Linked DNA regions of Drosophila melanogaster. The protein of the gene in region 1 interacts with the protein of each later gene in a pairwise test. Each region holds a gene or a part of one and is shown in the gene's direction. Other genes may lie near its edges. The genes, in order: Sh, LpR2 and CG11596.

Region 1 (7,438 bases):
GATATATGTGCCTCTGTGTGTGTGTACTACTCGGAACTACTCGTACTAACTTAACTGCAAAATCTGAATTGTGTATGTAACCCATGTGTTTACCTAGCCGGAATAAAAGTTGCCAAAATCATATTCTTTGTATCTATCTTTAGCCGTAAGCCTTGACTTGATCGGTCAGTTCTATATGCCAAATCATTCTGTATAATCATGCATTAATAGTACTCTAAATGCTTATTGTTTCGCCTTATTTGCCATTCGCACTCGTTGCCGCCAAATGCCTTTGCTTGGCACATGTATCTAGAATCTATAGATAATGATAACTCGTAACTTGTACTGTGTATTGTGATCATATGCTGATACATATACATTTAACAATCTGTCTAATCGCTGTTTTTCTTTGTTTCCTATTTGCAATACTCCACGATACCCACGATGACCGAACTCGATATGAACTAATACCATCAACTTCCAGGTAAGTCACAAAATACAATTATCTAAATTGGAAGATTGTGTGGGCTTAATTCTATAAGGATTTTATGGAAGATAATCTAAAATCTTAAACTATTATTGGTAAAACATTAAAACAAGTGTATATATTTCTCTGCAAGCATTAAGTCATTAAATAGCAAATGAAAACATGAGGTGAAATGTCATTTAACATTAAAAATCTAATTTTCTGAACTGAAGAATTATAAGTACTGCAGCGACTCTTAGAAGATTGCTCAAAGAGGCTAAAGTATCCAAAATGTTGACAATAAATCCCAATCATTCAAAACCTATAGAGTTTAAGAAACTAGTAAGTGCAACTGTTAGAACTAAATGAGCTTTTATTTTTAAACCCAAAAGACGTTCTTATTTTAGTTTATTAGAAAGATTATAACATTTTCTGGATAACTTCGTCTCATTAAAAAAAAATATTTCAATAATATTAGCTTTTCTCCCTTCAATAAATTGTAAAATGCTATTTGGTAAAAACTATTAAATTATAGTTAAAATTTCACAAACGGTTGTATTTTACAACCTAACCAACTTATTCTCCAAATGCTTTTGTGTGGCTATAAAAGGTTTGCGTTCCGATAAATTTTCGTCCAATAATTTTTCAACGCAAAACCTGCATTAGCAAGGACACCAAAGCTTAAAGCTTTTCTGATTTTTTGAAAATTGAAGAGCTTAAAAGCTTGACTAAAACACAATTTCTGATTTGAAGAAAACTTTCTGATAGCTTTTAAGCTGGGAAAACAAATAGCTACGTCAACTTTGTTGAAGCAGAAGCCAGAGCTTTAAGCTGCGCTTTATCCAGCTTTCCGTGGCCCTTTTCTCTCGCTTTCCCTTATGTTTTCCTTTCCGAACTTTCCCATGCTTTGTTTGGGCGCGCGTTTGTGTGCGTGAATGTGCCATGTGTTTATTTATTAATAATTGCATTACTCATACGCCACGCCGTCCCTCGCTGGAAGCATGGCGTTCAAGTGCACACGTGACACTTATATGCGTGTGTCTGTGTATTACTTGGGAGCCTTTACATGGCCATGTGTGTGCGTCCGTATGTGTGTGAGTGTGCAGTTATTCGCATTATTATAATCAAGTGGAGCCAACAAAAGGGAAGCGAAGGAATAGGCTTCGGAAGGGGGGAGCATAACGAGCCCGGCGGCGTTTTAAAGCACACATTAATAATAGAGGAGCACACCTTTGCCACCAAAGGGTGGTGGTGATGCGGTGGCGAGTTGGAGGGCATGGGGTTGTGGCTTTTGTCGTTTCTCCTTCGATTCGATTTTCTCTTGCTCCCGTGTGCATGTGAGTGTTAGTGTATGTTTGTGTTTGGTTCATTTACAGTTTTCACCTAGTTTTCGTGTTTCGGTTGTTTTGCCTTCGGCCGCCGCCTCAGCGGCCCCTAGCGGCATTTGCTTTGTTTGACACCGCCACTCATCCCCGCCGACGGGCCCCCATTTCCAGTCCAGCCAGGAGCTAGAGCTCCATCTCCAGCGGACGGTGCCCGAGTGTCGCCAGAGTCGCCAGTGTCGCCAATGTCCCTGTGCCCATGGTTCCCGCTCTTCTTGCTCAGCCATGTTCACCCAGGCTACTCTTTGGCTTTGTTGTTGCGGCTCTGCTTTGTTGTTGGTTTTCATTTTATTCATTTCGTTTCTTTTTTTTTTTTTGGTTTTGTGTTTTTTGGGCCTCCTCTGGTCGCCGTGTTCGTGCCAAGTGGCACTAAAACTATTTGCCTTTTGCCCAGTTTTCGTATGCCTTTGGCCAGCGGGAACAGGAGCGGTACCTGCCACACAGCACAGTACAGAACATCGCACATCACACATAGCACACACTCGGCACACACAGAACACAGCACGCAACACGCAAGAGGCGCCATCGGAGTCGGAGTGCAGCAGTGGAAAACTCCGTATAGCTTTAGATATATAGCTATACGATCCAGTCCGCTGACAAAGCCGGAGCCAATGCAGCAAAGCAAATCGCACGTGCTCGCCTCGGCCCAAAATGTTCGTGGCGAGTTCGTGGCGCCCAACGTGGGGCGTTCGTGCCACCGCATTTGGCTCGGCTCGTAGTTCGGCGGTTCTTCTATCGCCGGACACTTTTGCAGCGCCTCAGTTCGGTTCAGTCGTCGCAGTCGCAGTCACGTCGTCACAACGTAATCGTGCAACGCGTTCCGCGCTTGGCGGCGACTGTCGTCAGTCAGTCAATCAATCAGTCAGTCAGTCAGTCAGTCCGTCAGTCAGTCGGTCAGTCAGTTAGTCAGCCAGCTAGTCAGTTAGCTAGTCATTCATTCAGTCAGTCAATCAGTCAGTGTGTCAATCTGACAATTGGAGTTTCTATCCAGACTTCAATATTTTTTTACCTCGCTCAAAACCCCCCACTCGCACTTTAAATAATAAAAAAAAGCAGGTGGTGCGTGCCGCGTAGCCGCGCGTGATTCTTGTTGTTGTTTTTTTTTTTTCGGTGAATGTGAGTGTATGGTTCTCTTTTTTTAAATGGTAACTCTTGTTGTTATTGTTATTCCGAGCTTGGTGCGTGCCGCAAAATTCGAAACACAAGGAGAAACTCCATTTAAAAAAGGCGTTTAAAACAGCTTAAGAAGCCATTTAAGCACCCTTCCACGCGCCACAGAAAAGGGATGAGAAGAGAAAAATACACCAGGACATGATCAGAGGCTCCAGGGGAATCCTGGAGTCCCTCCAACTGTATCGCCCTATCTCCGACTGTTTCTGTGTTTGTTTACCTTAATTAATGCACTGGCAAGCGGCAAATGGACCTGGACACTGCCAACATAATTTGCCTAGGGGGCGCCACTCGAATCTACACTGCTGCAGCCTCCGGTGGAATGATGATTCTGATGGTAGTGGTGGTGGTAGGGGATTGTCCACGCCAACTTAGCCCACTGCAGGTCGAGTTAATTAATATTTCACTCTAGTTAAGGGGGAGAAAGTGGAAAATGGTAGGGATTGGTCGGGTGAAGTAGGTTGAAGTAGGGGTAAGAGGCACCAGTGAAGTTTTGCTTATATAAGCAACTTCAATTCCTATTGCCTTGTGCCATTTCCATTCCCATTCCCATTCCCACTCCCATTGCCATTTCCATTTCAGTGCAATTCGAGTGGCCCAAAAGAGCCAGAAGGAGCAAAAGCTGTAGCAGTAGCCTAAAGAGAAACTGGCAAATTGCTCATACGACGCATTGGCGCCGTCAAAAACTGAACGAGCCACAAAAGCGGAATGAGGAGTGGAATGAGCAGCCGAAGCTGAAAGAAAAACAAGTTGACCCAATTTACAATTGTAAATCAAACTTAAAATCACAGCCAAAGTTAAACAAAAATAGAATGGTGGTCAGTAGCAAGAAGGGCAGGCATGTTTAATTTACAATAAGACAGCCTCAAGGATCGAATTCAGAGATCAATTGAATGCCTCGAAATTAAACTGGGCAGTGGCCTTAATATTTGACCACAAATGAAGGCAACGTATAAATTTTGTATGTCAAAAACAAAAACCCAGAAACAGGAACTGCATTGATTGGATTAATGGCTTATGTTTCGTTGCTTCGACCGTTTTCTTTCCATTGTCATAGAGAGCATATATAAATAATAAATACACGGGCTTGCAACACAATTGTGGGTGAAAGCAGGCTTTTCCAGCAATTCGAGCACCTCAGTATGCAGTGAAAACTAAACAGATGAACGCAAACATTGGAGTAATTATGTTGGGGATTTTGAAATGCATTCATTTTGTGGTTTCATCTTTCAGCAGAGATGAGAGGTTTACCATAACTTTGCCATCCGTATTGTTTGGCAAGTCACTTGGATATCTAGGAAAACTTTGGGCCTTCCGCCCTTCGCTTTCCACCAACCACCCAGTTTTCCCATACAAATTAGTTTGGATTTGGATTCTCGCTCTGTTCATTAATTTGTCTAAGAGCAGCTGAGGTTTTTCCCCGTATTACAACTTGAGCACTTGGGCATGTGAGGTTATTATTCAGCCTCGTCTTTGTATTTTTGTTTAAGCTTCTTTTGTTTTCGCTCCTCCTATTGTTTTCCTCTCTATGTTCCCCGCTTTTTTTACGCCTCATGTTCTCATTGTATTTGCGATTAAATTCAAGTTTGACTCGCACACGCCAAAATTAATTGGGCACTTGAAAAGTTGAACAAGTCGATCGAAAGGGGGGCGAATGGTTGCAGGGGCTAGATGTGCCGTGACGGCTCGACAGCTCAGCCTTCTGTTAACCCTTATCCACTCAGTGGAAAGTGGCAAGGGGAAGGAGAATGGGTGGGAAACCCCTTTGTAATGTTCTAGGCAACTGATTTATTTTGATTGAACTTTGCATGCAAGCAGCTGAGGCAACAGGAAGAACTCCTGAGCTTTCGAGCAACAACTGGCAAGTGAAACATCATAAAACAAAGCCAGTTTGTGGTTGAATACGAATACGAGCACAGCCGCAGGCTTGGTCTTGTTGATGGGTTGGGGGGGGGGGTCTGGTTTTATGGGGGGGTTACTACTAGATTGAGGGGATCGGAGGCCATTCGCACGCACATTGCCTGGTTTTTAGGCGGCAAGGCTTAGGCTTAGCTCCAGCTCAATCGTAAATGCGTCGAGTGTGGTTCGTTCTTCTCCGCACTCTTAACCCCTTTGTGCCAAAGCTGCTCGCCAGTGTGCCAGTGTGTCTGTGTGCGTGTGTGTGTGCAGGCTAAGTGGTTATGGCAACAACAGCGCTAATAAATCCCCTCTGCACACGCCTCTGGTGCTCGCTAAGCTCTCCTAATGCCACTGAGGCAACTCGGCTTTGTCTTTCGAGTTGAATTTGCCCAGTATATGGCGCATATATCGAGTGCCTTTAAAGTGGTCGTCTGTCTTCGCAAAAACATCAGCAGCTTCCCTGATTGAATGGTGGCGAATTTTTATTCTTGCCACAACTCGATATATCTGCCAACTGTTTTGCTCCATTTTGTCTTTCCTGCCACGCTTGGCCATTTAGTTTTGGCCCAATTGCTAACTTACATATGTATATATTTATGCGCATATGTTTGCGGTCGGGCATGAACACACACACTACAAGAAAATTTGGCCACCAAAAATATGCACAGAGTCGTATTTTATATATGCTATATACTTGGTGACTTTATGCCTCATATATATATATATATGTATGTAGTATATGTCTTCCGCAACTATAAAACATTTAATGTTGCAGTGAGACTTTCTGATTTCCTTTACAAAGTTTTTAAAACTACTTTAGGGGCTTATAGAAAAAAAAATGGCAAATACTTGCTTTAGTATGCACGTTGATTTTATTTTACTAAAATGTAACGAAATGTTCCAATTAAATGAGCCTTTAGATAGTTGACCTTTGGCAATCCCGAACTTAAAATTGCCAGGGCTTTGGGTGATTTGTGTTAACCTGAATTAGTTCTCAGTGTGCCATCTATCTATGGATATTGTAAATTATTCGCCTGGATCCGGAATCTCTTGCCAGTGGATTTTGGTACTCCGGCCAGAGGCTGTGCAGCTCGGCTCCGAGAAATGTGAAATGTGAATTTCGAATGGCAAATGGCAAATGGGGAATGTAGGAAGTAGAACGGAGAACGGAGAAAGGAGAAAGGAGCACAGAGAACGGAGAAAGTTACGCACTGCGGCGATGGTTTTTGGGCTTTTAATATGCTGTCGAGAGGTGGAAATATGTGTGTGTATGTATGGATACACGGCTGTGTGTGCGTGTAGATTGCACGTGCGCTGCGTGATTTTAATTTGAAACAAACATAGCCAGAGCACCCAAACACACACCAATTTTGCGTTCCTTTTTTTTAAGGTTTTAGTTTCTTCTCTACTCTTTTTTTATATTTAATTTTGTTCATTTTTTTTGTGGCCCCGGCTTTTCACAGTTTTATTTGGGTTTTCCGTTTTCGCTCGGTTCTCATTCCTATGTTTTTTTTTGCCGTTTTATTTGTTTTTTTTTTTTTTTGGTAATTCTTTTTACGACTCAACAAGCAGCAGAAGTATAACAAACCAAAAAGGAAGAATACAAACCAAAAAAAAAAAAAAATAAATAAAGAGAAAACAAATAGGGCGGGTGGCACAGAGAGAACATTTATTGATCTGCGGCCGCTTGAAGCCAATTTGAAGGTCAAGCATACGCACCGTGGTACCTCCGAGATGGGGCCATCTTCGCAGTGAACGAGTTTTGCAGTGTTACATAAAAATATGCAAGCGGCAACCAATTTCCCTACACCCCACCCCATTCGCCACCCCGCTCGTGACGTCATGGTAAATTATTTTCAAATTTGCGCCCAAAGGCCAAACAAGAAGCAGCTGTGCTGCACAAAGCGGAAACGGAAGTAGCAGCAAGGCGACAGGAGGCCACAGCACGGCAAACATAGCATACTTTTCAGGGCTCTGTGGGTGAAAGGCCGTAAGGCTGTACGAAGTAAGGATGTGCGGATTGGAGGACTGAAGGCTCCCAGGCTTGGAGCCTGTAAAGCAGCGACGACTGCAGTTTGGCTCCCGCTGCTCCGCTTGTTGTTCCGTGTCAAACATTTTCATCCACTTGTTCGCATTATCCTGCCAGACAGCGCACAGCGGGCGAGGGCATCAAAAGATGCCGCCAGCAGCAGTAGCAGCAGCAGCACAACCAGTGGCAAAAATTGTTACAATTGCCGTGGCGCATGATGGTTACGGGGGCTGAAAGCCAAATCCGTGCGAGCCAAACGGGCGAGAGAAAAATGAAAAGAATAAAATGGCAATAAACAGGCAGGAAAATGGGCCTGATAATGCGAGAGCTATATACACTTTGCATGCCATGCTATGCGATTGAAGCTATTAAAATTCAAGTAGTTCACTTTTCCTTTACAAAATCCTTGTCCAACCAGCTATGCAAATGGGTTCTTAATAATACGTCATTAGTTCATTGATTCAATCTAAGGCAAGAGATTAATTGACCCTTGTTAGATGTCCCATCTAAGTC
Region 2 (7,763 bases), on another chromosome or scaffold:
TGTCTTCAACTTAAAGTTGAAGAAATATCCCGATAAATATGTTAAGCTGATTTAAATTTATTTTGACACGCCAATCATTCAAAGATGTCCCAAAAAACACATTCGACTTGCACACACATTACCGTCGCTCAACTTTAGATTTTTAACTGACAAAACGGAAGCGACGAAAACTTAATCAGCGCTACGTCAACGTAAATTTTGATTAATAAGACTCTCGAGCAGCTTGATAGTTATCCTTTCGGATGGGTTGACAACCCAGCGACTTCCTCTCAATTTATAAGTTCGACGTCTACCCTGTCACTGTTTTTTTCTCGATTCACGCACTGTTTATCAACACTTTCGTGGGATTCTGATTCAGATTTATTGCAAGCGTATTAATCAAACTGCTCCCCAAGATCCGCACGCCACCAGAGCCCCTTTTGTGCGGATGCAGCCAACCCACAACATTGGCTTTGTCATGGCCCACATTAATCATCATCAGGAGCTCGGAAGAGGTATATACCCATATATCCTTGACAGTTTCATAAATGCCAACGCAGTTGAGCCACTTGCATTGCCGCCAACCGCAAGTAGGCCCTCGCCTGGCACAACACTGCAATTGAAACCTCTAAAGAGAAGCCATCAAGCACCACCCCAAAACCGGCATCCCATCCTGTTCCATCATCCCCAGCCGCAAAGTATGAGGTTAATATCGGTGGTTTCGAGTGACGCCTCCACCCAGAGGAGTGTTTGCTTTAAAGTGCGGCTCAACTTAATGTTGATAACTTTTAATGTTTTGACTAGGAAACTGAAAGAAGTCCACCCGCGACGCCTGACAAAAATCCCATTAAATGCGCTGCGCAAACGATGTCATTAGGTTACCATTCCCATTCCCATTGCCATTTTCATTCCCAATCTAAGTCGGCGGCAGGCCGCTTCTTTCGCATAAAAGTTAGCGCCATCAAAGGCGCGAGCGCGTTTAAGTGTTTATTTGCGCCTAAATGCGCACTTTGAGCGATTTGATTGAAAATTCCTTCGCTGCTGTGGAGAATGGAGGATTTGAGGGGGATTCTAAGCGGCTTGGATTTTGATGTTGATTCCCTTTTTTTTGCTCTGCTTCTTTATTGCAATGATTTCCGTTTGCCTTTTTATACAGTTTTCCCTTTTGTTTATCATTGCCGAAGGTGAAGTAGCGTTTAAGCCCTGTCATAGTGCGACAAAATCTGTATTAAAGGGTTGGAAAAATGTCGTAGTTGTTCAAAACATTAAATTTAGCATGCTATGAAAAGGATTGTTTTAGATCCTGATTTAATTCGCTTTTAATGTTGTGTGTCAATTATTAAGAATTTTTGAACTTTTTGTAGCATGTTCACAGTTTCAACTATTTCAATTTATTTGTTAGCTCTAAAAATTTGTTAATAACGTATGTTGTTTTTATTGTTACATATTTCATAACACGTTTGAATATGTTTATAAACTAATATAAGTTTGTGGCAGTTGTGTTCATATTTGTTCGATCGTTTTTTGTTCATCTATTATTTTATTGAAAATTTGTCTAATTCCGACTTAATTTTTTCCGCAGTTGCCGACCAGCGTCCAGTGAAAAACCATACTCAAATCGAAAAGACCACAACGCCCAGTGAGCAGCCGGATTCCGGCTTTATTGCACTGGTGGTCATAGCCAGTCTTAGTGGATTCGCTGTCCTGCTATCGGTGGTAAGTTGATTGGGCAGAGATGTGGCGACGTTCGGGGTATTCAATTAACTAATCAATTTATGTGGTGCCCTGACAGCTCCTGCTCATTGGCTACCGCTACTGCAGCAAGCGACGCATCAACTCGATGAACTTCGAGAACCCCATCTACCGCAAGACCACCACCACAGAGGATCACTTCAGTTTGCGCAAAAATCTGCCGGCGCGGATCTACGACCACACCAGTGTCATGGATGAGGAGGTGGGTCTCCAATTATTAATTACCATAAAAATCCAAGTATAATGATAAGCATTGGGTTTAACACACCCGCAAATGATTTAATTTCCCTTCCATAATATTAATCGGTATACTTATTATAATTTATCTTAATTTATCTTGCAGTACTCACCCGTCATAGGCATATCCTCGTATTAGATTGATTCCTCTGGAATCGTGTGAAATGTGGATTGGATGATTGTTGCGCTTGGTCGCTGGGAAAATTAGATGACCAATGCTAACTCGAGACCCGCGGCAGAAACACACACGCCTGAAGACTGAGCAACTCTGTGTATTGTGTAAATTAATTATTTTAAAATTTTAAGGCACGGCAAGGACGGCGGGTCACCTTGGAGCGCATCCTTAAAGGATGCTGTACAAAATACTATGTCGCAGAGTTCTATCACAAATAAACAAAAGAAAAACAAAACAGAAATAGTTACGAGAAACGTAAAAGGAAACGAGAAATCTAATTGCTAATTATAAATTACATAGTTCCAAACTGTATATAGCTGTAAGTGTGCATTATTTTTAAATGACGCAACTTAATATTACTATACGTAAACATGACAAAGAGATCATTGTGCTTATGGTCTACTATTAGAGCAAGTTGAGAAATTATATTTCTGTTGTCAAGGAGCAGAGTCGTTTTATTATATTAAAATTATTACTGCATACGTATTAGCCTTTTGTTAACTGTATTTGTTAAGTGTACATACATATGTATATGTTTCCCCACTAAAAAGAAAATATGATGAATAATAAACTCAGAACATACTTATGTGTAGCGTACTCCTGTGATATAATTACATGACTTTGTGGATGGGATTTTAATTTGATTGATTTCAAAGTGTGAGTGGTAAGTTGCCAGCTATTTTTCCAGTTTTTATTTCCAACATTGTCCAATTTACAATTTTTTGCTGAATTTGTAGCATTTCGTTTCATCTTCAGATGCACAGCTGTTAAAAATGCACATATATTTCTGTTCCTTGAAGAAATCTCAATTGGAAATGTACCGAAGGGGAATAATTCATCAAAGCTTGATGATTTTACACTTTGATGATATCCAGACTTGCTAAAAGCCCATCGTGTTTCTCAAGCATCTTTGTTATTCAAATGGAAACCATGTTATGAATTGAAATGCAGAGGTACAGGTGCTGTCAATAGATCAATTTCCGCTACAGTAAATGGTTTAACATTTATTGACCAATTGTGATTTACGTGTGTCTATGCTACAAAGCCCATTACTAGTTTCAATCGAAGCCTTGACTGATTGACCCGGGCCAACAAACAATTTAGACCTGTAATTTTAGAAATTGCTACCTCACTAATTGGATGCCGAAACGACAAATAGTGGAACACACCTCCAAAATAGATTGATACACGTTCTAAGAGAGCGGCCGAAGAGAGAACCACCTGTTAGCTCTGATTCAATGTCAGCTTATTTGCGCACTGGTAGCTTTGTCTTCTCTTTGTGTTGGAGATCGAGGCTTTTGATTTTCAACGCTTTGGGGCTCCCCCCGATGATGACGTCGACACTCTCTTTTCTCTTCGCAGGTGTGATATGGTACGCGTGGCGATCGTCGGTTCGTTGCCGAACGAAAGACGAGCACTGCCGAAGTTTCTAAGACGGTTCCATTGGTCCGCTCACTTCGGAAGCGATATTCCGGCAGTTTGTACTCGCAGTGCGTGTCGCTAGGTCGTCGCTGGTCGCTTATCGCTCATACGCCCCATGCTTTGGATATAACTTCACCGTTAAACCGAGAAATTTCGGAATGCGAAAAAAGTTTCGGAAAGCAAAAGTTCAAAGCAAATAAAAAAAAGTTCAAGCCGGGGCTTTAAGGCCAGCTCATCGCATTTGTCGAGCGGAAATAAGTGTTAATTAAAAAAAAATGTATGAATCTATTTTGGCCGAACGTTACGTCAATATGTCATGTGAAAAAACAGCATAAATTTTAGTCCAACATGTGTTTTGCCATTCAATAAAGTAAATACAAGATTTGAACAACCAGAACCCATTCCGAGCTGGAATAATGGTGTCAATGGGTAGTGGCTGCGCATGACTTACCAGGCTTACCTGGCTTATCAACCGTTATACCGCTGATAGCAGATATATCCAAATAAAAAATTATTTTAATGTTTTAAAATGAGTGAGAGGGACAGCATAAGGGGCTAACCCTCGCTTTGACCAAAGGCGTCGCCCTTAGCTTGCAGTTTTATGTGTGTATTTCGTGTTTTCTGTGCTCTTATGCTGTTTTTTCGCAACATCGTATGTTTCTTTTTCCCTTCATCGCCTTTTCCGCATGTTTATCGTACCTATGCCTTACACTCTCATCCCGATACAGTCGATTCATTCTCTCACTTTTGTGAACGTTTTTTTGGCAAACGTTGCGTGTATTCGCCTAAACTTATTATTTAATGGACGTGTATAAATAAGTTGGCAAATCGAACCAGAGTGAAAAGCGTGTGTGACCCACTGAGCCTAAAGTGCAATTTCTACCGTATATATATTCTAGCAGCTGCAAAAGATGGCCACAACCTGCATGCCGCATTTCACGGAATATTTTCAAACCACCACCCAGTCAGAGTTAACAACAAATGAAAGTGCCAACAGCAGAAGCAGCAGCAGCAGCAGTGGCTGTAGAGAACCGTCCAAAACCAGTGGCTTCTTCTACAGCGCCAGCACACATTACCAGAGCAAAGTGCAGCAGCTAATCAGCTTCAGCTTCACCTCATCGTTCCACCTGCTCTTCATCACCTGCATACTGAGCATCAGCAAATTCTGCAATGCGGCGGCGGTAAATGCCGCCCATGTGACCGCTGCCACGCCCACTGCCAGCGAGATAATGCACAATCTGAGCGGATCGGCGCTGCTAGAGCGTCTGAAAGCCAGTACTCTGGGACCCACCCTCGATCAGCTGAAGCATCTGGCTCCTGCGGCAGCCAACAGCATTAGTCCTGGTACAGGATCTGGCATGGGAATCGGGATGGGACACTTTGGCAGTTCCATTAATTCGGTGCTAAACGGAAATCCTTTAAAGTTCTTGAATGTGTCAGGAAAAATCGGCACTCCTTTGGACATATGTAAGTTTTTACAAGCCCATAAAAATGGTTTATTCCTAGAAGTTCTAAATGCTAGAGGTATTTGTAGTTATAAATCTTTTAGTCACTCTTTTTATCAACTTGTATTTATTTTTATGATTCATGAAAGGCTTAAACATTCATACATATTGCCGGCGAATTATTAGAATTAGTCAACTATTAACATCACGTCACAAATTAAGCTTTCCATCATATCAAAACTAATCATTTTTGTAAGAGTTGCCGTATTTTAAATATCTATTAAAAAGCTATGAATATAAAATTCAAAACTAAAGTGCAGAATAATCAAAATTTAAACTGAAAAATAATTTAAATCACAATATACTTTGCAGCCTTAATTGAGAGTTGTAAACACTTAAGGCTCGTAATCATGGTTCGACTTTGTCGGATCTTCTTCGATTTCTCCGAGTGTAAGGGGATGCGGTGTTTATAGTTGGTGGCTCCAACTCCAACTCTCTCATTTCTGGCGATCATGCCACCAGCCATGTGTACATACGTATGCATACCCCGATTTCCAGTCCGACTCCGATTTTAGCTAAGGCTCCGACTCCGACTGACTCGGCTCAAGTTTTATTTATGTGAATTTTGTTGCCAGCCGAAAGCCAAAGCGTCTGGCAATGCCAGTAAACTGCACTTCCATTTCCATGTCCCAACATTCCACATCGTCATACGATTTCCAGACTGCAGAGCTCTTTCCCTTTTCTCCCCATGCTCCGTGCTCTTTTTTGTCGGCAGAAACCTTTTACTTTCCTCTACAACTCGCCTCTGCTTACACTGTAATAAAAGTTCCACTAAAACTCATGCTTAAAGTGACTAAAGTACCGGGATAAAATCGAGTGTGGCATACTTTTTGGCGTGCTATATATGACATTAAAAAAAAGGGTTCTTTAAAGTTCAGAATTTATGCATTTTCTTTCGGTGTACACTCTTTGCTTGTTCTGCTTCCCCTTATAATTATTCCATTTTATGCTTATTTTTTGTACCGGCCGGCATCGCTACATGAAGCGAATGGAGCGCCACTTGAAGACTTAAACTCCGGCGGCTCTTGTGAAATGTACAGAGAGAATACCGAGAAAGAGAGAAGAGGAGAGAAACCGTGGTAGACGGGGGAGCAGAGAACAAAAAGAGCAACAAGTGGCCGATTCTTGGAGTTTCTTGGCCTTGCACATTGGTCAACGTTTTTTTGTAAATCGATCCGAGCACGTGGCAGATATATGTACATTCTACTCCAACATAAACTGGAAGTAGCTCGACTTATTTATAAACATTTGTTGTTACCAAGCTGATCTCGATATCTATTTTGATTATCCCCCACCCAGAAGTAATTCAAGCACTTTAAAAAATATGGCTTAGCTTTAAAAAAACATAAACAGAAGATTGACTAACGAAGTAATTTTAGCTTCAAACGCGGCTGTTTGTAAATGACATTGAATAAGCAGGCAGTTTACATAAAGGCCTACGTAAAACATTCAAAGAACATTCAAAACATTCAAACATTCAAATTGGTAAGAAAATTGCTGAATAATCAATTATTTGCGCAAATTAAAAGTACAGTGTAGAACCAAAAATACAATAGACCCTGATTAAATATCAGGGCATAGTATCGACCATTTCACCATTGTTAGTCGCTTTTAATCTGAATATTTTAGTCCATCATATCGAAATATGAATAGTTTTTGTTATGTTCGCAGTAAGGGAATAACAAATGGTTGGACTCCAAGCAAGTTTGTTTTTAATCTTCAACGAAACCTTCAACTTGGCTAAAAGCGGAGGGTTAAAACGCTTTGGATTTAAGCCAACGAATGTCAAAGGTAAAAACAAAATTAATAACGCTGGGTCATGATAATAGCCGTAGCTTTAAGGTTAAAAGCAGATGATTGAAAGTGGGACTAGCGAATTATAAACCGTTGCATCAAAAGATAGTTTGCCATCAATCTATGTCAAATTTATTTTCGTGCTTTTAAGTGGTTTCTGGTCGAGAATTATCAACTCCTGTGAGTAAATGCATTTCCGCTGTACTTTTGACAGTTTTAATATAAACCAATAGCTCAGGTGCCAAATAAATCGTGAGACAGGATTTAATACGATTTATAGGTCATGGCATGACAGTAATTTCCGCCCAACTAAACTTGTAGTAAGCCAAAACGAAATCATTGCAAACTACTCGGGAGGACAAAATTGACAACTCTCATTTGGCAGCAAGTTCTGGGCACGTCCTTGACAGCTTTAATGACTGCTTTTAAACTGCGACAACGCAAGTTTCCCAGGCATCGACTTCCTGGCCGAGCTGATTTATTTCAAAATCGAATTTAAACAAGTTTGCAGGCGACGATGGCGAGGAAAAAATCACCCGGCCAGTCCCAACTTGGCCGGGACATTTTTAATTAACTTGGCTAATTACGCCTGGAATTTGCACGTGCTCTCTGGATCCCACTGTCCCCGATACAAACTTGGTCCCTTAACTGGAGTTGGCTGCATTACAGACCGTCTGCCTTAATTACAAAAACATTTGCCATTATGTATAATTATGAGCAACGAAAAAAAAATTATTTTCATTTGTGCTTTTGTTGAAAACTGGTTTCCAACACTAATGGAAGCCAACAAAATGCACTGCAATTGTTCGTGCTCGAGTGACAAAATTCATAAGCGATGCATGCAAAACACAATCTAACTGTGTTAACTGTATCTCAATGCTGGCCTGAAATGAAATGAA
Region 3 (8,047 bases), about 16 Mb from region 1:
TCATGATTGACTTTTAAAGTATAATGACGAATATTAGCAGGAAACATGCTAAATACACTAAAATGATGATTAATTATCGCTAACAAGTAACCTTACGCCTAAATCACACTCACGTCTTCGCTCAGAAAAAAACCTAAAACGGCTGCTATTAAACAATCCTTTGCTTATAGATATTCGAGGCGTATCAGATCAAAGGACCAGAGTACTCCAACCGTCTTCTGGCCCTGGTTTCATCGCAGTCGGGCGGCACGTTTGCCATCATCGCGTTCTCCTACTTGCGCACTCCATTGTCCTCCGCGAACGAGCTGATCATCAACAAGGTGTTCGCAATCGACCACAATTTCCAGTTGCGACAGGGTGAGATGAAGGGTGCATGTTCATCACACAGCTTGACTATGCTAGCCAAACAAATTGCCCAGTAACTGTTTGTCAAGTAGTCACAAAACCAATAAGTTTGCGCTCATTATTGGCCATAACAGATTACGACTGCATTTACTTATGATAATATTGGTATCTCAAATAGTTTCAGCTGAGATGAAAGCAAACTAATTAGTGAAAGCTCGCTCTTTTTCATATATCATTTTCCAAATTTTTTGCAGACAGCAAGAGCTCGATCACCACGCAACAGTTTGACCTGTCCACAGCCGAGGATGGCCCCATCAAGTACTACTACTACGCCACGGAGAGCCACCACTACGAGGAGTTTGTGGCCAAGGTGATTTCCTTCAAGAGCACCATGGCGCAGCATGATCCCGAGACGGTGCTTAACTTCAGGTGGCTGAATGACTACCGGCAAATCGGAGAAGTGAAGCAGGAGCTGAAGAAGCGGGAGAGCGAGTACATTGTCTACAAGGACATAATGTGAGATGGAAAATGCCCTGTCAAGCAAGAGTTCTCACGCACATTTATTCAATCCTTGCAGCATCTACTGCGCCACTTGGAATGTGAACAACAAGACCTGCAGCGACAGCAACAATCCACTGCGAGCCTGGCTGGCTTGCAGTGAGAAGCCGCCGGATATCTACGCGATTGGACTGCAGGAGCTAGATACTCCCACAAAGGCTATGTTGAACTCCACCCAGGTGCAGGCCATCGAGAAGCAATGGATGTGAGTGTGCCACATAAGTTATATAGCCTCGTTACCGAGAGTCTAAGTTGGTTCTTTCTCCCGCAGCGATAAGATGATGGACAGCGTCCACCCTGACGTAGAGTACGAAATCCTGATGTCGCACCGCCTGGTGGCCACCATGCTGACGGTCATCGTGCGCAAGCAGCTGCGGCAGCACATCATACGCTGCCGACCAAAGTCGGTGGCCCGCGGCATCTTCAATACGCTAGGCAACAAGGGCGGTGTCGCCATTAGCCTGCAGCTCAACGAGGGCAACATCTGCTTTGTGAACTCCCACCTGGCCGCCCACATGGGCTACGTGGAGGAGCGGAATCAGGACTACAACGCTATCGTGGAGGGCATACGCTTCGATGATGGCCGAACAATCAGTGACCATGAGTAAGTTTGGGGAAGAAGGCATAAGTATAAGTCAGTATTATTTCACTCCATCTCTGTCTTTTTCTAGTCACATCTTCTGGGTCGGCGATTTGAATTACCGCATCCAGGAGCCGCCCGGCCAACAGCGACCAGGACCACTGAGCGATGCCCAGACATACGAGCTGCTACTGCAGTACGACCAGCTACGTCAGGAGATGCGGCGTGGAAAGTGCTTTGAGGGCTACACCGAGGGCGAGATCAAGTTCCGGCCGACGTACAAGTATGATCCGGGCACGGACAACTACGACAGCAGCGAGAAGCAGCGGGCGCCGGCCTACTGCGATCGAGTGCTCTGGAAGGGCACGCGCATCGAGCAGCTGGCCTACAACAGCATCATGGAGATTCGGCAGAGCGATCACAAGCCCGTGTACGCCGTGTTCCAGGTCAAGGTCAAGACTCGCGATGAGGTCAAGTACAAACGGGTGCAGGAGGAGGTGCTGAAGGCAGTGGACAAGCGGGAGAACGACAACCAGCCACAGATCAATGTCGAGAAGACGGTCATCGATTTCGGGACTGTGCGATTTAACGAGCCGAGCACACGGGACTTCAACGTCTATAACAACTGCCCACTACCTGTGGACTTCAGTTTCAAAGAGAAGGATATACACGCCATCTGCGAGCCATGGCTGCACGTCGATCCGCGCCAAGACTCGCTGCTGATCGACTCCGCCCGAAGCATTCGGCTGAAAATGAACGCCAATGTGCGCACCATTGCCGGCTTGCTTCGCAAGATCCGTGCTAGCGACAACTTCGATATTCTCATCCTGCACGTGGAGAACGGGCGTGACATCTTCATCACGGTTACGGGCGACTATCAGCCCAGTTGCTTTGGCCTTTCCATGGAGACGATGTGCCGCACCGACCGTCCATTAAGCGAGTATTCCCAAGATCAGATTAAGCAACTCGTGAGTTCCCTTCATTTTTGTAATTACGAAGTTTTTCTACTGATCACGAACCACGTTTCGTTGCAGATGAATGACGAATCACCGGAATACCGTGTGACGATGCCCCGGGAATTCTTTCTGCTGATCGACTATCTGTACAGGCAGGGCTCCAAGCAGGTGGGCGCCTTCCCGTCCTACGACTCGCGTCTCTCCCTCGGCGCTCAATTTAACTCGGTGCGCGATTGGTTGGACACCTGGTCGGATGATCCGTTCCGTAAGTGGACTCTATTAGATTGCCACCATAATAGTTGTGAATATTCCCTTACAATCTACAGCTGCCAACGCAGAGACGGCTGCGCAGGCGCTGCTGCTTTTGCTGGATCTGCCGGAGCATGCTCTGCTGGAGCCGGTGGTCGAGAATCTGCTGGAGTGCACCAACAAGTCGCAGGCTATGGACTACATTTCGCTGTTAAGTCCCCCCAAGCGCAATGTTTTCATGCACCTTTGTATGTTCCTGCGCGCGGGCATCGAGAGTCAGTTCTATGATCTGCATCAAGTCGGTAGGTAGAGAAGCTCCAGCAGCATTGTACCACCATCGTAACGCCATTCCTCCCACACAGCATCCACCTTTGGCCGCATTCTGTTGCGAAGCACCGAGCGTGCCGCCTGGATGGACTACCACAGCCGATGCATACAGTTCATGCGGCTCTTCATCGACACCGACGTCGAGGCAATGGGCAACGGCAATGAGGGCGCCGGAACTGGAACAGGCTCGGGATCTGGGACCCGGGCGGGTCTGCAGGCATAGTCGCCGCAGCTGTGCCGCCGAATCGGAAGCGAGCGATAGATGTACTACTCTGTTGATAGTTACGCATAGTGTTAAGCTATTTATTTTATTTGTTGGTACTTTGTTGGCACTTAGCATTTATATCTTCTCTGTTTTAACTGTTAATTGTTTGTGCCCGCCCTCCGTTCATTCCAACTCGGTTGTCCCCGCCTGCATCACAAATCCATGGAGACACGCAACCAGCAACGCAAAGATAAATGAATTGTGTAAATAAGTAATTCGTTTAGCACGATTGTTTGTTAGTTTAAATTAATGAAGTGACCCTCTTACATCCCCGTTTCAGTTGCAACTGAAAATAAATAACACCGTTACATACAGTATCAATATTCTGAAAAATCTCTACATTGGCTGTTCACATATTTGGCCACGCCCGCCAAAATTTTCAAAATTAAAAGACGCGCTACGGATTTGTGAGTACGGATGGTATCGATTAAATTCCCAAAGTTATCGACAGTGTAACCAGATCTAAAGTGGCGACTTCAGTTGACGGCAGAGACGACAGCAGAATGCAAAGGCAACGGATTACTCCCAGGATTTAAATAGCATAGATTATCGTTGAAACCGCTGACGACGCGCCCAGATGAGCTCCATGGACTGCGCCACGTTCCCAATGCATCCTAAAATGGACGAGCAACTGGCCCGAACCTTCGTCATCAACGAGGAGGAGGAGGAGAAGCACATTCAGAAGGTGCAGAACGCCTTCCTTTACTATGGGTAATTGTTATTGTTTTTGCGCTGTGTTCTGGAGCACATGCTCCAAACGGACGCTTGCCAACCGATCGTCGTTGAGGGGGGGCGGTGCGGTGACAGCGACATGTGCAGACAAGCTGCCGACAAACTACCGTTTCGTTTGGCGCCAGTGCTGGCGGTGCAGGAGTAATCACGCCAAATCTGGCTAGTGTTTTCAAATGGCTCACCGTTCCTTAGAAGACGCATCTTCTAAAGTATCCAATAGAGCCAAACTACAACTGAGTGTTCATTACCACCATTACTGACATTTGGGTGAAAAATATCTGCATACCAAAGATATCAGATTGCCCATACAGCGTTTGTAAACACTGTAGTGTGTCATCACTGGTGATAAGCGTGCTTGCTGATAATGGAAATCAATTAATTTCTCCCATGCAGGCCATATGCGTGTCAGCGGCTAAAGCGCTCCATGGATTACCTGAACAGCCTGTCTGGCGAGGACCAAATCATGCTAGCCAAGTACCGAGGGCATCTGGAGTGCGTGCGCACGTGCATCGATCGCAACCAGGCGGTTATCCGGGAAATATTGCGCGGGCGTGTCCTCTATCCGACGGATGAGGCGACTGGTGATCCCTCGGAGTTTGACGAGCCGCCGCCAAATGTGCGGCACGGTGACATGGACCAGGTAATTGACTACATCTGCGGTTCAATGCGGAAGCTAGACGGCGCTCCTTCATCATCCCACAAATCCCAATCTAATAGAATTTATGTTCCTCTTTTTACTTTATCTTCTATTTTTCCTACCGCTTTGTAAATGGTCAGTTGAATTTGTCCCTCTTTATATTTTCAAATATTAGAATTACTTTTGGTAAAACAAGGGAAGAGTAATATGTATCTTTAAACTGGTCATTCTTGTGCTTAAAAATTGTTTCTACATGTCAATAGACTACTCACCTTACGTATAGTTTAATGTGCTTGGTTATCCTCCAATATCTTCAGTTTCTCTTTTAATTATTGATTGGAACTATTCGGTATTGTTTCTTTTCCATATCTGTGCACGACACCCAAACCATGCATCTCGCACCCGCTCTAATTCAACTCGCAGATTGATATTCCATTCGATGAAGCTGACGTTGAACCTCTAAAAATTTTAAAGGCCCAGTCGACGTTGAAGTTGATTGCGCGCGACTGGAGCACTGAAGGAGCCTTAGAACGGGAGCAATCGTATAAACCGATCATCGACAGCATCGTTGCGTACTTCAAGCACAGCGATTTGTGAGTGACTACTACACTAAGCGTACTTTAGTGGTCTTACTAATTAATTATTCATCTGCTTTATCTTAAACAGCGAGCTGAAGGATATAAAGATCCTAGTGCCGGGAGCGGGGTTGGGACGGCTCACCTACGAGCTTGCCTGCTTGGGGTACTCGTGCGAGGGCAACGAGTTTTCCTACTTCATGCTGATCGCCTCCAATTTTGTCCTCAACCTGTGAGTCCAGCTCAGTACGTTGCTTTCTAATGCTGGGTATTGAACGTGCTCTGTTGTCTCTTTCGGCAGCTGCGACAACGAGAACAAGTACGTGTTATATCCGTGGGTGCACCAGTATGTGAATAACTTAAGGCGTGAGGATCAGGTGGCCCCCGTTCGTTTCCCAGACGTCTGCCCGCTTAAAAATCCACCCAAGGGCCATTTTGAAATAGCAGCTGGCGACTTTCTGGAGGTCTACAAGACGCCGAACGCCTACAACTGCGTGGCTACGTGCTTCTTCATCGATTGTGCCAATAATGTTATTGACTTCATACGCACAATTTACAAGTGAGTTGCACACATTTGAACGGGTATACCGGCGATGTTGATTTTAACATTATCGTTGCAGAATCCTCGTGCCTGGTGGCATTTGGGTGAATCTCGGGCCGCTGCTGTACCATTTTAGCGACGTCAGCGGGCAAAACAGCATCGAGCCGGCTTTCGAGGACCTTTGCATTATCATGGAAAGCGTAGGATTCGTTATCGAGAAATCACGCACCGGCATCCGTACCAAGTACGCACAGAACCCGTCTTCAATGAAACAGAGCGAGTACCAGAGTCTTTTCTGGGTCTGCCGCAAGCCGGATCTATTTGAGGAGCAGCGGGGCAAACGCAAGGCCTCCAGGGAGCCACACGATCTTATTGTGCGCGAGGACAGCGAGGAGGAGGGGGAGCAACAGCCGGAACGAAATGAAACGGAAGAAAAACAGCAACTGAAACCGCTGGCCACAGCCAACTGCGAGACTGAGATAAAGGAGCAGCCATCGTGATAGCCATTGAACCAAACTCAACAACACATCCAAACACCACAATCAAGTCCAAGTGCAAACCCACCTACAGATGGCATCACGAACATCTTAATTACCACGTCACAGGCAAGACAGGGAATCGACACTGCAGTGCTTCGATGTTATAGATTACACTTTATACCTATTATTTACTCCTACACACTGTTATATATGCCAGTTTTAATTTTTCAAAGGATGCAAATTTTAGGACAATTTCTCGCTCATTATGCTCATCATGCTAACTTAAATGGGAAAAGCGTCCCAACTAGGTCAACCAAATATATCAAAAGAAAATTTTTAAAAATTAAGATAAAAAGTTTTTATTTGTTCAATTACTAGTGGCTTTAAACCGATACCTACCAATTCGATAGCCTTATTAAAGTTAACGCAAGTTCCACTTGCATCAGGGTTCTCGGCACTCGCTGCCGCATACCTCACCTTGATATGACAACCAACATGCTGTGGTTCTCCAAATAATAGTCAAGATAGTTAAGAGGGTTCGAGTTTACGATTAGCTTTATTTTAAGATTCAGTTCGCGATCTGCTAGCGGTTCCGTTATGTGTCCGTTCGAGACTGGGCCTCTTCTCCCGCCCCGCTGCTTTTATATCCGCTTCCCCCGTTGACCCCTCACCCTGAGTGCGACCAACGGCACTTGTTCCGAATGCACACATACACAAACATGTTCCTAGACAGGCCCCGAGTCGCCTGCTGACGGGGCCCGAAAACACGAGAGCCGAGCGCTGGTGAGTCCTGACGAAGATCGCAAGAAGAGGGTTCGTAACTTACACGAACATGTTACTAGACAGGCCCCGAGTCGCCTGCTGACGGGGCCCGAAAACACGAGAGCCGAGCGCTGGTGAGTCCTGACGAAGAGCGCAAGAAGAGGGTTCTTAACTCCTCCCCCCTCAAGATCTGCGTCCCGCAGATTAGTGAGCCTTGTTCAGCTCGGTTTGGCCCAATGCTTCTAAGTTTGCGGCAATCTCGCGGACATCGGGCATGCCTTTGGTGGACATCAGCTTCTTCCATAGGAAATAAAAGCCTAGGAATATGCAGATTGCGAGTGCCGCCTCGGTGAGAAGAGAGGCTAGTAGCTCACTCGCCATGTTGGACATCTTTTCCAAATTCTTCATGCTCACGTCGTGGACGTATTCCAGAGAAAGTTGAAAGTTGCTGGCCGTTATGTGGCTCAACACGGCCGGCATCGCCATTAGATGACTGACCGAGTAACTGGAATAGTTTTGACCGTTGACCATTATCGTCTCATTGTCGAATTGGATGATAAAGGAGCCGATCAGGTCGTAGTTCTCTGCAGCCGTTCTTAGAGTTCCGTTGAAGTTGGTCAGGAGGAGCATTCCATCGTCGACTTGCTTAACCACTCGTTGGTTACTTCAGTAGCCGAGGGATACAGCTAGCCTCCTCCAGTTTTTGCAGTTCCTCGAAGCCGTCGCTTGCGCGGCCAAGACGGCGTTCCAATCAGCAGCATCTGGAGATCCAGCTACCCATTTCCAAGCCGACCCCAGCCAGTCCAGTGAGCGGGATTTGCGCCGCATGCAGAAATCGCGCTTACAAAAAGACAATTCGTAAATATCTGGTCGTCTAAGTTGTTCTAAGACTACGTAGTGTGTGGGGGTACGGTACATTTTGTGTACTTATATTTTTATTTTTTTATATTTCTTATTTCTTATTTCTTATAATCTGTATTTTTTTATATTATTTTTTTTATAGTTTTTTTTGTATTTCTTTTTGTATTTCTTAACTCATTT

The links.
Region 2: the proteins of Sh (region 1) and LpR2 interact in a two-hybrid assay, tested with the Drosophila melanogaster proteins (one large-scale study listed by BioGRID).
Region 3: the proteins of Sh (region 1) and CG11596 interact in a two-hybrid assay, tested with the Drosophila melanogaster proteins (one large-scale study listed by BioGRID).

What each region holds. Positions count from the first base shown.
Region 1 is NC_004354.4:17,985,839-17,993,276, reverse strand, and holds the start of Sh (shaker), read left to right. Parts: upstream 1-2,597; 5' UTR 2,598-2,943; intron 2,944-7,438.
Region 2 is NT_033777.3:25,736,324-25,744,086, reverse strand, and holds the start of LpR2 (lipophorin receptor 2), read left to right. Parts: upstream 1-3,621; 5' UTR 3,622-3,842; intron 3,843-4,464; 5' UTR 4,465-4,476; coding exon 4,477-5,032; intron 5,033-5,397; exon of another isoform or gene 5,398-6,060; intron 6,061-7,763. Other genes in the region: LpR1 (lipophorin receptor 1), read left to right, coding at 1,562-1,695, 1,772-1,933, 2,075-2,107.
Region 3 is NC_004354.4:1,923,929-1,931,975, forward strand, and holds CG11596 (uncharacterized protein), read left to right. Parts: upstream 1-3,754; 5' UTR 3,755-3,857; coding exon 3,858-3,991; intron 3,992-4,243; exon of another isoform or gene 4,244-4,337; intron 4,338-4,405; coding exon 4,406-4,652; intron 4,653-5,072; coding exon 5,073-5,242; intron 5,243-5,315; coding exon 5,316-5,456; intron 5,457-5,525; coding exon 5,526-5,783; intron 5,784-5,844; coding exon 5,845-6,265; 3' UTR 6,266-6,582; downstream 6,583-8,047. Other genes in the region: Ocrl (oculocerebrorenal syndrome of lowe), read left to right, coding at 171-357, 600-861, 923-1,108, 1,175-1,507, 1,575-2,451, 2,518-2,704, 2,766-2,990, 3,051-3,238. UniProt on the Drosophila melanogaster protein: S-adenosyl-L-methionine-binding protein that acts as a sensor to signal methionine availability to the mTORC1 signaling pathway.